2 linked regions of the Mytilus edulis genome follow. The protein of the gene in region 1 purifies or fractionates together with the protein of each later gene. This does not show direct contact. Links are inferred from orthologs where the notes say so. Each region holds a gene or a part of one and is shown on either strand. Other genes may lie near its edges.

Region 1 (7,498 bases):
ATAAGGAAAAAGATGTCATCCTTATTATACCTCAACACAGTTATTTCTATTAGTTTATTTGACACTTCAGTCATGTAGTATTTTAATGTATGGTTGAAAACACTGCATTTTGCACTAAGGAAATTTGTAATTTTGGAAAGTACTTATTTTATGTCATTGTGCATGATGTGTTTAAGTACAGAAACACTGAGTAACAATCATGACAATATTTAAGACATATATTTATATTACATATATATATTTTTTTGAAACTCACAAACTGTATAGCATGTGACTAAAATTTCTGACGCTTGTCATCTTTTTATTTTTGTTAATGTTGTAGGGTCACAGAACCACTAATTTTGCCCCAGTTGGTAATAACATGCAAGAAAGTGGTACATATTTTTTAACAAAATACAAAAGTCATGTAGTTCCTATGCATAGCTGTATCTTTGTCAATAGGTTAACTATTCAAGTAGTTTTTGGTATCAAAAGAAGTAATGCCTATTTTTTGGGACTTGAAAAGCAAAGGCAAATTAAGAAATCGATAAATAAGTTATTAGATGAAAAAAAACATCTTTAATTTTGGACCCTGATTTGGACCAACTTGAAAACTGGGTCCATAATCAAAAATCTAAATACATGTTTAGATTCAACATCAAGGAACCCCAAAAATTCAATTTTTTGTTAAACTAAGTGTCTTCAGAAGACGCGGCCAACGATAACATGATACCAATATAAGACCTAGTCTCATGGGTATTAGAGCTGTTAAAATGCATAGTGGCGTCACACTTTCCATTGAAAAAGCATGTATACTGTTACATGTAGTACGAAGCCATATGACATCAAAAGCGTAGGATCTGACCATACATGTATCATCGTCTCATGGGTTTTCGTTATATTAAGAGTGCCTTATGACATCACCATTTCCATTGAAAAAGCATGCATGGTACGAAAATATATGCCGTGTGAAAACATATGATCTGACCATATATCATGTACAAAAAATGTATATTCAATAAATTTAGTATGGGTGCCAATTAACCAGGTGCAAATTTGACTTTACCAGTCCTGATTTGACTAAAATTCAGGCTGACTAACGGTATTTATATGACTTATATGTTCCTAAATGCCATCTATAGTACTTTAGCATGTTTAACTGACATGACTCAAGAAGACTCTAGATAGTATATACAGTCTAGTCACCTAATTTCGTGGATACACAAGTTCGTGGACTTCCGGAAATCCTAAATATCTCGCATGCGTGTTATTGTTATGACGTCATCAATGGCATGATTTGATTGCTATAGGATATCCCTACAACAACAACTTACAAAAATGAATCGCGACGTTTCAAGCAAGGTAAGACTTATTACTTATTTATTTAATAAACAAAATGGCTGATTTTACTTATTTCTTTATTTGTCTTATTTCCAACGACCTCAATAACTTTATTCCCAAGCTATAATCCCAAATCCACGTGTTGTTTGATTACGCTACTTTCTAATGAACAATATCACATGATAAACAAGGAGATTCCCTGTCAGCCAAAAAAATCTATGGAACGCAATCAGTGTCATATTCTTATATGTTTTAGATGAATTTTAACAATAAAAGATGACTTTTGGTTAATCAAATGAACTTCAAAAAGGAGTTATTTAGCACAATTCTTGTAAATTAAGTTCAACTAACGTCGATAACTGAGTTTTAAAAAGGATTTGTATAAACAGTTTTAACTAATGGTGTATTTATTTGTTTTGTTTGAAAAAAAAATAGAAGATTTTTGTATCACAAAATAATTAATTTTCATTTTTTATTATTTACAGGTTCAACTTAAATGGCAGAAAAATAAGCAGAAAGAAACTGAAAATAGCAATTATGATATATACATTTGTAAATTATTGGACTGCTTTCAGTTTTATTTATATTTACCATTTACTATTGACAGTTCTGTATTAACAGTTGGACTACTTTTGAGTAGTGAACATTTGCTTGATTTTAATAAATGTGAACTTTATCTTCTGGGGGGGAAATAATCATGATTCCAAAGGGAAAAAATGACTAAACTGTAGCCTAAGATTATTTTTTTTATATAATTAATGGGAAGTAAAATAACTTTTAAATCTGTTACTTATAATTATTTTAATAATATTTAAAAAGTTGAAAAAAAAATCATTTGGTGTTTCAATTTTTTTATTTTTTTTAAAGATTTTCAGGCTCAATAAAATAAAATAAAATACTTTGTCTTTAAACAATGTTTTATTTAGTTTCACTGATCTGAAAATGTACAAAAATATGCTTGTATGAAATTACAATTATATGCTCACCACTGGGCTTCCATACTGTGTGTTCTTCTTGTGTTATTTTTAGAACGAACTTTTCCCACGAAAATAGGTGACGTACTTGGCATCATATGCCGATTTGTGTACACTAGAAATGTAGGTCATATAAAAAAAACTAGCTAACGGTAAGAATCAAACTAACTTGTATTATTTTAATGAAGTTCTAAGGTAACATTATGGACATATAAAACAAATTGTTGTTTTTTAGTTTTACCGCATTCCGTGTGAATAGTCTTATATCCACGAATATAGGTCACTACCGTACTATAGTGAAGTGACTATACATGCATGAGGAGTTGTTAAAAGACGACTCAAACCCAATTATTCCTGTGTGTTCTGTAAATAGCAGACAAATGCTTAGTTATTCTCAGGAATGTTGGGGAGATTCAGATACAAATTTATACAAAATAGTACCGAAAATAGTGACTTGCTGCAGCAAGAACATTCTTTTGGACAGGTATTTTTGAACCATTTAAAACAACAGTGCCATCACAAAAGCGTAGTAGCCTTCTATTTTCATTTAAAGCTGTTAAAATTTTCTTTGCATGACGGTCAGTTGAAAAGCTTTGTGGAGTTGTCGTCGAAGTTCCAGCTTCGACATCCATCTCTCAGCTGTTACAGTACAAAGCTGGTTTCATAATATTAGAGACGATTGACTTTCTTCGACAATCCGCTTTTAATCAACCGAAAACCAGTTTTAGGTTTTTCTACAGTAAAGTGATGATCCTCTTATTTTACGATTTTTTTTCATTTTTTTTTTTACATTTTAGATTTTAAGGTAGTTCAGGGGTATAGAAAAACAATGACAGAATTTTCTTATACTTGTGGCAGTTAGGATTATTATGTTAGTATTATTTCCCTTGTTTAAAACTATAAATTTCATATTCTCAGATCCGGACATCCTGGCATTAAAATTTTTCAAGGGGTGATGCAGATAGGATTCCTCTAGATTTTTCATCTATTTGAAGGTGATAACTGATTATTTATATTGTTGATTATTTTTTAACCAGAGGATATAGTATGATAAAAATCAAAATGGAGATATTATATAGTGTCTTTAAAAACATTAAGTGGGTAAAATTACTAGATTCAACTGGTGTCAATATATATCAATTAAATTAATTTGCATTGAAGTCTATGGAAAATCAAGAGGATTCTTATCTGCATCACCTCTCAACATTGTTTATATAACACAAATTCTAATCATTGATTGGTCAGTTACATGTTGTGATGTCACTGCAGATCTGAGAATTTCCTTATTTAATGATTTACATGAAGCTTATTCAGTATATCAAGGATTTGTATAGTAAGTTACTATACAAATCCTTGAGTATATCTATAATACTAAAATTACGAGGTCCAATTTGTCAGACGTCATCGGGTAAAAACGACAAATCAAAGAATTCAACTCTATATAGAACTAATATAGGACAATGGTGTAGATTAAAAATTACACCACTCCAGACCCTTTTGTTTTCCACATAATTAATATTGCCAATAATTAACAAGTTCCGGGTCGAATCCGATACCAATAGTATATTCACCTGTTGGCTATTACCTTATCTGTACGTTCCGCATTTGACAGGCGCACCACCAAACGGTGTATTTAGGATTTTGTTATATACACGGGTCATAATCAAAAGGCTGACACTACTAAATTCAATCATTGTCAAATTGTTCTCTATTGTAGTTTTATTCAGCAATCAGCAAGACTTTCTAAGATAACTAACGCGATATCACGGGTGTGTACTTGTATTTGTTAAATTGCAAAGATTTTGGTATTTGAATTAATTGGTTATGCGGGGTTCACACATTGCCGATTATTGCTCCCGTTTGAGATCAGACAGCGATACGGCACGAAAAGTGAAAAAGTCGGATTAGTATCCTCAATTATCTGGAATGTCCTATTATTGTCTGAACGCAGTCGTTTTAGTTCGTAACAGATTCCTACTGGTCGGGAAGGGTCCGAATAGTTCGGCAAAGCACCCCGACAGTTAGGTGCGTCCCGTAACATTCGGGGAAACTCAGCCGATTTTGTCTAGTCAGATTACAATCGTGCCTATGTCGTGACAGATTCTGCTGTATCGGATCGAATTCCTAACAATGTTCTGTGTATTCCGGACGGTGTCCTGTGGAACGGGAATGATCTGGAGAAGTCCCGACAATAACAGAATACAATACGACTGAGACCAGACAAAGCCGTTTGCAATGCGATAGAGCGGACCGTGATAGGATTACGTTCCGACAGTACCTGATCATCCCGATTATGCCGACAGTTTTCGAACGGATAACTCCCGTAAGCGTCGGTTCACTGTCTTGTCACTATCTGATCTCTGTCGGATTACATTCGGTAGAATCGGGACGCAGTCGTGACAGACTCGGTCGAATTTTACCTGGCGAAAGATACAAATCGAATGTCCATCCACGATTCACAGGATCTTGATCAGACTTTTGACAAATTTTAATCGGGAATGGTCCTGTCAAGGACGGCAGTAAAAATCGTGAATGTGTGACCCCAGCTTAAAAGATATTTATTTATATTGTAAAGTTTAATATTTGCATCGTCGCAAAACCTTTGATTACCTTCTGCGAAAGACTTATATATTTTAGATAATTGATTTGAAATTATTATGTTGAATCCTCTGAGGACTGACATTCAGTCCAACCAAGGAAAGCCAGGCTTTCCAACCAAGTATCCATTAGGTTAGTGCATTTGCTACATGCCTCCTTAGTATGGTAATTTGAAATCATATTGAATGCTCCATTTCTACACTTTTGGCTTTACATAATAAAAGTTGTACTTTGTTAATTAAATTATATATTGTTTTCAGTTTTTGGTTTCATTTACTTACATTGTAGATATATCATAGTGCATCACTTTTGACATCAGGCGTTTTCCGCACACATCAGTTTACAAACTAGAATTAGCTGTGGTCCGCATCCCCGAATCTTAGGCAGAATTGTTCCTGCTACATACTTTTTGCCAAAATGAAGATTTTATTATGTTTTTTTTCTCAAATAAATGATAAAAAGTACGGGTTCCCACGCTTTCTTTAAAATAAAATATGAGAAGATAGCTTTTATAATATATTTTAAGAAAATAAAATAAAAAATGGTGTCACAAAACTTGTTTTCTTGCTATAAGTAAAACATAAAATTTCCCTATATGTCCAGTGTAAATTTTGTACTTTTAAAAATAGTTATCTCCCCTTAAATGGAGTTATTTGAAAAATGAATTCTAAAACCACAAATATTTGGTATTTGTTTAAATATTTTCTAAAATGTTTTGAATTACTAAGTTTTCTTTACATAAATAAACAGTTTAACCAATACATTGCAAATCTGTCTCCAAATTTGCAGATTTCGGCAAAGAACTAGAACTATTGTTTCTGTGATTGTACCGTGAATTCAAGATGGCGGTAGACCCCTGGTACTCGCTTCGGCAGTACATATACTAATACCGACCGTGCAAGGGCTGTTTAGCCAGTCAATGTCGTTAAAAACTTCCATTTGTTTGTTCTGTCTAAATACCGACCGTGCAAGGGCTGTATATATGTCACTGAAGCTATATATTAGAGTACATGGTGTAATGGTTAGCACTCTGGACTCTGAATCCAGCGATCCGAGTTCAGATCTCGGTGGAACCTCCAAATCAATATAATCAACCAAATTTTTTTCCAGGAAAGGGGGGCGGGTCCCCTCTAGATCCGCCTCTGCACCACGTTACACGTACATTTTTCAATGAGTTTAGTTTAAAAATACAATATTTCATCCTGTTTTACTCTTAATTTGTCCTCTTGTCGCTTCTTGCTATTTTGTATATACGAATATCACATTTCCGGTGACGTTTCTCCACATGCAATTGTTTTCGTTGCAAGAAACGTCAGAAGAAAGAAAAGGTTGCCGTAAGAGTGACATGTAATCTACACTTCAGTATTATAAACTTCTTGGACCCGACGTGACTTGAACCTTTTAGTTTAGAGTTTAACAGTTAAAGCAAATCGAAGACAAGACACGTTTATGTAAACCTAGGTGATTATCAATTGCATAAGGATTATCTGGGCTGTATATGCACGCCTGGTCATGTTCTATAAAATTACATATCATCTCATTGCAATCACAAAAACATACAGATTAATTCAACCGCTCAGACAGTCCAGGAACATGCACACACTCTCATACCAAATTCCATCCTGCAGAACACAAATAAGACAACAATCATTTTTCCCACGCACAATTAAAATCTGGAACAGCCTTCCCCTGAGTATTGTTATGAGCGACTCTATAGAGTCGTTCAAAGTAGCCGTCTCAAACTACACCTACAGCCCATAAATTCATCATGTGTAAATAGTTTTATCTTAATATTTTAAAAATAATAAATTAAAAATATGCACTACCACTATGTAAAAATTTTTTGTTTTGTTTATTATCACAAATTTGTATATTTCACTGTATATATGTCTTCACAAAGCAATGCGCAGTACAAGTGACGTAAACTTCAACGTGTTGAAGGCGGTCATTACATAGTAGAAGTAGAAGTAGAAGAAGTATATCTTTGTTTTGATTCCATGTGAAAGCTCAGATAAATGACAGATCATGTTCAGTTCAGTTTCTTGTATATTCCTCCATTAATTGTGGAGCACTACCCAAAGGGTATAGTTTTAGCAACTATGTACACCTTAAAACATAAGGAAACAAATAATTATATACAGATGACTGAATTTGGTTATAATAATCACTAAATGATAAATATCATAATTAATTCAATGGATTGTCATCATAAAGTTTTAAAAGATATATAATAATTCATATGTGCTGGGTTGTAAGAAAATTTTAAGAGACAACTGCATATATTTACAAATAAGAATTAAAATGGTCTCAAATTAAAATTACTTATAATTATTAGTTAAGAGTGCTATAAATACATCAGGAACTATAATGAAAATTATATTTTATAAGACTTATGTAAAATGGTAGGGGTTTGGAAAAATTTGAGCTAATATATATACATAAATTTTCTTCACAGTTTATTTTACTATATGGGGATCTTGTCATTATTCTTTAAATTATAACTGATATCTTACAATTTTAAAAAGAGAAGATTTATTTTAAATACATGTACTTATAAGTCATAAAATAGTAAGATGATATACTATTAGTAATGAACTGTTTTATTT
Region 2 (7,487 bases), on another chromosome or scaffold:
TTTTCTTGTGTTAACATCGAAAATTCATCATACTTATATCTACTTTTTAAAGTTCTTACATGTGCTAGAAATATGGTGAAAGAGTTCCTCCCTCAAATTATTATGAAGTGAGCATTGGATTGAAAAATGACGCTCATCCTCAACTTTATCAGCTGTACAATACAATTTTTTTAGTATCTAGCATTTTCAATTCTTAATGTAATGGAAGAGCACCGATTCTGAATTAAGATATGAACTACCTTTCTTAAAATCAATAATATCTAAACATTTCTTTCTTCTTGAAAACAATCTTCAAAAGAAAAACAAGTGTCAAGTTTCCAACAAAACACATAATGTACTAAGTTTTTAAAATTAGACAATTTGTCAAAGACAAGAGGTACAAGAATGTCACACATTATCTTAGATTTTTTACTAGTTTGTTTTTGGCTTTTATACTGTACTCATTCGATTTGAGCAGTCAAAATGCGTTGACTGTATATTTCTATGACATATACATGTACATTGAATTTCACTGACCCGATATCACTTTTCCTTATAAATATTTAGATAGAAGTTGCCGAAATATTCATGTCCGTCATATTTGTTTTTCGTAATAAGTTTTGTTGTAAATCATCATTCCTGCATCTCCACCAACCATAATAAAAGAGACATATTTTTCTAGATTTCAAAATAAGCTCAGGGTATAAAATCGGTATCCCTACAAATATATTGAGTTTCATCTCCCAGACTATGTCTGATCAATCGCTATTGGAAGTGCTGTGCACTACATTGTATCTCCGTATATCGTGGATTCACATTCCCGAACATGTTACCGTATTCATACATTTAATTGGAATTGCTCATCTTTTCTGAGCACATATTTTGTCCTGTTTGTATTCTTATTTTTACAGATCTGGTTATGTATTTGTCTCTTTGTTTTTCCCATTTTGACTGACAGACTGACTGACGCTACATTAGTCCGTTATTTCTGCTACAAAATTAATTTAAATAAAACTCAGATGCGTTATACAAGGAGAGAAAGTGTTGCAACCAAAGAGGGCGGATAGTGTTATCCAACTCCGATATATTCATTTATGTAGTTAATCAGTCAGGGGACTTACTTAAATGAGTGATTTTCTAAATCACTGATTCAAGTAACATTATTTCCATAAAGGTTGAAAGTAAGAGTTGTCTTTCTTTAATAATCACCTAATTAAGTAGTACAAAATAATCACTAGAAGAAGTGATTTAATTTTACTGTAGCTTTAAATATAGAATACTAATGATCCAGGGACTAATTATGTTTCTAAACTTATCAGAACCAACATCTGTGTTGTCTAGGATGACCAGGTCATTTCAGGTGATGACCTTGTACTGAATCTACATAATGACATAAAAATCACTTGTTTAAGTATCATACCTCAATTTCCTTCCCAAAAATCACTTTTTTAAGTATCATTGTTTTATACAACCCCCACTAATTTCAACACCCCTGAACAGTGAAATTTTTATTGGGAACAGTAGAATTTTATTACATAATCTGAAAGATAAAACCTTGAACTTTACAGGAAAAATACTCCCACTCCTGGGAAAAATCTGTTAAGAAAGTATCAGTTCATTATGTAAAGCCATTATTATAGTATTTTTTCAACTAAAATAGAATTTGCAGCTAAATGAAAGCATCAAAGGCATAAACCTTGATACTTAAAAGAAGGAAAAAATACATATTTTTTTTCAATTTTACTAATGAAAAGATATTTTTTAAACCTATGTGTTTAAAATTTTGGTAAAACTACAAAATCACAATTTGTGACAAAACTTCGAATTTGCTACTCAAACAAGTGATTTAAAAATCACTTATTTCAGTAAGTCCCCTGACTGTTAATAGTGGGGGAAACCTCACTCCCCTGATACATGAAAAGCAGAAACCGAAGATCTAGTTAAAGAAGGTAGACCAAGACGAACATGCAAAAAATAGCGAACTAGAACAGCACAGACGGTTGTGACACACAAACAACGAAATATAAATATAAATAAAGTACCTAGACATGTAAAACGAAAGTGGGACGAGGGTAAGGACTGAGCAGTTGCTATAAGCATGTGTATCAACTCCAATATACTGAGACAAATATCCCGCATGAAAAGAATAATTGTAATCAAGACGGACAACCACACATATCATAGAGAACGGAGTTGGTCTTTTTAGAGAAAATTTACCCATACACATAAGAAAAATGCATTGTCGAAATAATGGGCTTTCAGGGTAATGGGTTGTCGGAATAATAGGCTGTCGGAGTAATGGGCTGTCGGAATAGTGGGCTGTCGGAGTAAAGGGCTGTCGTAATAATGGCTGTCGGACTAATGGGATGTCACCATGTTTATATATGTATGCCTTCTTATAAGTCATTTAAGTATTCTATAACTAAACAAAAACTAAAAATTGCAAATTTTGACAGGAACAATACTTTTTTTTTTTTAAATCAAACTTTTTATGATTAGATCATGTACATTGTAGATTAGTATTTATTTTGAACAGATTGAAAAAAAATATTATTAATCAATTTAATGTTGAATAACCACAAAATCATATTGAATCATATGCATTTTTTTTAAGTGTTTCTTCCTTCTGTAGCTCTTTGCCCAAAATTTATTATATTTTTTTTTTGACAATTTGAGTATTTTAACTAGTTATTTAAGAACTACATGTATGGACTGCAAATTGTCAAAAACAAACCACAAGAGCTCCTGATCAGATCTGCAAATGAACTGAAAAGTGATTGCTATACTTATGCAGGCTATGATGCACAGGCACTTGTTTCTACCCATAGGAAGGTCCACTATCCATAATCGACCTTCCTATGGATAGAAGCAAGGAAACAAGTGCCTGTGTTATATGATGTTGCCAAAAAGATAAAAAAAAATATTTATGCAAACCTTCTAAACAAAAAACCAAATACCGCGTCAAGAAATCCAGAAATATTGCCTTCATTTTGAAGAATTCCAATCAAAAGGTTATCATATTGTTGGTTTTTATCGTCCATCGTAATTCGTCTTATTTTTATTTTTTAACGGACAACACACTAACGGGGAAAGACACCCGTGTATCAACGGTCATTGTTATTGTTCCATATACGTTCCTCCTAAAAGGAGCACTCGTAAGTAACCATGGATCACTTCAAAACCAGTGGCGGATCCAGGGGTGGGGGGGGGGGGGGGGGTTCCGGGGGTGCGCACCCCCCTTTATTTTTGCCGATCAATGCATTTGTATCGGGACATATGTTTTGCACCCCCCTTTGCCCTGGGTGCCCTGGGTTAGCACCCCCCCCCTTTCGAAAATTCCTGCATCCGCCCCTGAAAACATCGACAGTTACTTTATGTACTATGTAATGAGTGACTAGTAAAGATGGATATTTCAGTACTGAAATTATTTAAGGAATGACTGTAATACTTTTTCTGTCTATGAAGAAATAACATAAAAAATTTGGTGAATAACGCGCGTAGCGGGTTATTTAACAGTGTGCTCTACATTTTATTTTATGTTATTTCGAAAACCATGAAAAAACGTTGATGACTTCACGGTTACATGACTAAATTATGTCTATGGGCTGATAAAAAAATAACGTCAGCCAATCAGAAGACGCGTTACATCCAAAATTAAATTATTTGATATTATCAAGACAAGACAAATTATATGATAAGTTTGTTGAATATCATACATTATCTGGAACCTGGATAGGTCATGGACCTCCTTTTCGAGATATTTGCATAGGCGGATCATGCCCCCCCGCCCCCCCCCCCCCCCCCCTTGTGGGAAAAATTTGGTTGATTATATAGGGAATCACTGAAGCATGACTGGAGCCCCCCCCTCTTAGGTCAGTCAGCGGGCCCCCCTTATGAAAAGTTCTGGATCCGCCACTGATTTGAGATTTAGAATATGTCGGGAAAAGGCTGACTCAGACTTTTACCTTATATTTGCATTGGTATTATTTGGGTCTCAAACAAAAGAAAGAAAATCAAGAATCTTTTAAAATTTTGCTAAATGACCTTTCATCAGCTATTTAGTCTTATATGAAAAAATAAGTGAGTGTTATGGGGCAAAATATTTTCCATTGTATTGTAAAGAAAAAAACCCAAGGAGTCCGAACATTTGACACAAATTCCAAAACCTCACCGTATATTCTTAACGTATTCAATACAGTAAAAGAAGATCCAGTTAATTATTAGTCTTTGATTGAAATTTCTATAGAAAGATCTATGATTAATCAGAATTTCCAACTAGTCGAGTGTCACGGGAATATATTGATTTCCATGTGAATTGTCATTTTATTTACTTTAACTCTTTACGGTTTTATATGCGGGGACAACCACGTATTTATCCTGGAAGTATAGGACAGCTGATTGGCACACATGTAATCGGTCTTTAAAGATCGATGTAGCATGGGCATTCATAAATTCATTCAGTTCAAGTACAGTAAAACGGAATGGATGGATACCAACCGTTCTTAGAAAATGTTAGAATGTTGTGTCCTATCCGATGGACTGTCCTGAGGGAGTAGAACTTTTGTATTTTTATAGCCATTTTAATTGTTAGAAAGTTGGGCAAGAGATTAACTGGGAAAGTGGAATAATGAAAGATTGACAATTGAATATGTGGGTGGTTGCAAATAAAAAAAATGCCTGTGCAAGTGTTTTGCCGAATGTGTTCGTGAATGAGTGAGAGACAGTGTTAATGGGAGAGTGAGAGAGGCAGAATGTCGGTGTATGAGATAATCTGGCCTTGCAGTAGAGCTATTATGAATAGTTGCAATTGATGAATTGGGTGAGTGAATAATCAGTAGGTTAGATAAATAGAACAATGAGACATAGAATTGCAAGGGATGTGCTGAGACTACTATAATCTATAATAGTAGTCTCAGGTGTGTGGGAAGTGGGAAAAATTAAAATCACCAAAATACTGCGTTCAGAGGAAAATTCAAAACGCAAAGTCCTTTAATAATCAAATAGCAAAATCAAAAGCTCAAACCCATCAAACGATTGTCAACAATTGTCATATTCCTGACTCAGTAAAACTACCATGATAATTTGACTTCAAATATTTCAAGACCTCTACATTTCGATTTCATGGTGTTCTTCAATACAAAAATTTTGTAAATTCAGGCCTCATAACAAATGGAACGATGGTAGTGACTGTCTTTATAGAAGAGTGCTAATCCCAGTTACAGATCACTTTAGCCGTATTTGGCACAACTTTTTGGAATTTTTGATCCTCAATGCTCTTCAACTTTGTACTTGTTTGGCTTTATAAATATTTTGATATGAGCGTCACTGATGAGTCTTATGTAGACGAAACGCGCGTCTGGCGTACTAAATTATAATCCTGGTACCTTTGATAACCAATTAAATAACATAGAATTTTGTGGACACCATCAGCTGGTTGACAATTTGGTAACATGACAACTTATTGTTCCAATAGTCGAAAATACAGCTATGTCCTCTTTTATTTCGATTGTGACATTTATATATTTTGCTGACTTACTACACGAGCAACACGATGGGTTCCACATGTGGACCGGTCCTAATAATCTGATGCCGGATAATCACCCTCGGTTTTTGGTAAGGATTCGTGCTGCTCAGGCGCAAGTTTTCTTTTTAATGTTTTTCGACTTGTTTGTTTTAAATGTCCCATTTCTTCATTCCTTTTCCTGCGCTTTTAGACCTTGGATGTTCACGAGAAATTTTAGATGTAAATTGAGGAATTCAGATTTTGTGAGTTTTAGAAACTAGATACCAGTATATAGTCGTTTTGTAATTTTCCGGTTATGACATTTTGACAGTGTATACATACGTGCATGGTGGGCGATGCATGCATAGCAGGAGGTGTTTACCCTGTTCACTGACACGGTCTTGATCAGTTATATTCTTAGTATATCGGATTCCCCCTTTTTGTGTTTTACCTTAATTTGCCTCTTCTTGATCGATTTAGGATATTTAAACATCGATAAACTACCGTAACTGTTGCTTTAATTTAAAGCCCTTGAAAATATGCTTTGTTACAATTTTATATTTATAAGCATTGTAATTTTCATTGTAAATAATAAATGCTATAGCAGTATTACACACCATATCTTACATACTTTTGATTTTTTAACCCTATATGCTAACATTGCCTATGTAAATCTTAAAATTATTTGCATGCACATTGAACGAAATATTTATGTGACGTATAAAATTTTCTGACGTCAGACACTCAAATCAATGAATGTGTTTGTAGATAGCTGTTTTTGTTTTGTGGCAGTTGGGATTATTATGTTATTATTATTTCCCTTTTTTAAAACTATAAATTTCATATTTCTTTATTTAAGGATTTACATGAAGCTTATTCAGTACATATTTGTTAAATCGCATAGCTTTTGCTATTTGAATTCATTGGTTAAAGATATTTATTTGTATTGTAAAGTTTGATATTTGCATCGTTGCAAAATCTTTGGTTACCTTCTGTGAGAAATTTATATATAAATATATTTTATATAACTGGTATTTGATTATTGTGTCGAATATTCTGAGGACTGATTGTCAGTCCAACCAAGGAAAGCTAAACTTTCCAACTACCGTTAAGGTTAGTGCGTTAGCTACATACCTCCACAGCCCGGGTAATATGAAATAATTGAATGCTCCATTTCTTCATACATTTGGCTCTACATAATAAAAGTTGTACTTTGTTGATTAAATTATATATTGTTTTCACTGTTTTTGGTTTTTATTTACTCAGATATACTTTAGCGCATTACATTTGGCATCAGTCGTTTCCGTACAATTAAATTCACAAACCAGACCAAGCTGTGGTCCGCATCCCCGAATCTTCAGCAGAATTGTTCCTGCTACAGTTTTCTGTTAAATAGTTCCTTTAAAATTGTTATACGATGATGACTGATAGTGGAATTAACTATTTGTGGATTTTTATAAATTCTATACATAACTTTTGGACTATTTTCAATCTCGGTCTATTTCTGATATTTATTCTTAAAAACTTTTGTTTTTTAACCCTATATGCTAACATTGCCTATGTAAATTTTAAAATTTTGTTTGAAAATTGTTTGCATGCACATTGAACGACAAATTTATGTGACGTATAAAATTTTCTGACGTCAGACACACAAATCAATGAATGTGTTTGTAGATAGAAGTTTTTGTGTTCTGTTAAATTGTCCATTTTAAAATTGTTATACGATGATGACTGATGTACCCATATTTTAACTATTTATTTATTGTGTCTGTTTAATAGTTAGCGCATCAATGTAAATATAACGAAATTTGATGAGACTGTCATCAAAGTGAAAGGGTTAGCACTATAATCCACAATTTTCTACATTTGAAAATGCCTGTACCAAGTCAGGTATATGACAGTTCTTGTCCATTCGTTTTTTATGCGTTTTGTTATTTGAAATTGCCATGTGATTATGGACTTTCCAAATTAATTTTCCTCTAGGTTCAGTATTTTTGTGATTTTA

The links.
Region 2: the proteins of gigaxonin-like (region 1) and nudC domain-containing protein 3-like purify together in Homo sapiens (co-immunoprecipitation; 3 studies listed by BioGRID and IntAct, counting the BioPlex papers as one, with this or other methods). This does not show direct contact. The link is inferred for Mytilus edulis from reciprocal best matches to the Homo sapiens genes GAN and NUDCD3.

The regions. Positions count from the first base shown.
Region 1 is NC_092348.1:15,388,100-15,395,597, reverse strand, and holds the start of gigaxonin-like, read right to left. Parts: upstream 3,015-7,498; 5' UTR 2,927-3,014; coding exon 2,736-2,926; intron 1-2,735. UniProt on the Homo sapiens protein: Probable cytoskeletal component that directly or indirectly plays an important role in neurofilament architecture.
Region 2 is NC_092352.1:85,868,112-85,875,598, forward strand, and holds the start of nudC domain-containing protein 3-like, read right to left. Parts: upstream 3,114-7,487; 5' UTR 3,021-3,113; coding exon 2,914-3,020; intron 1-2,913.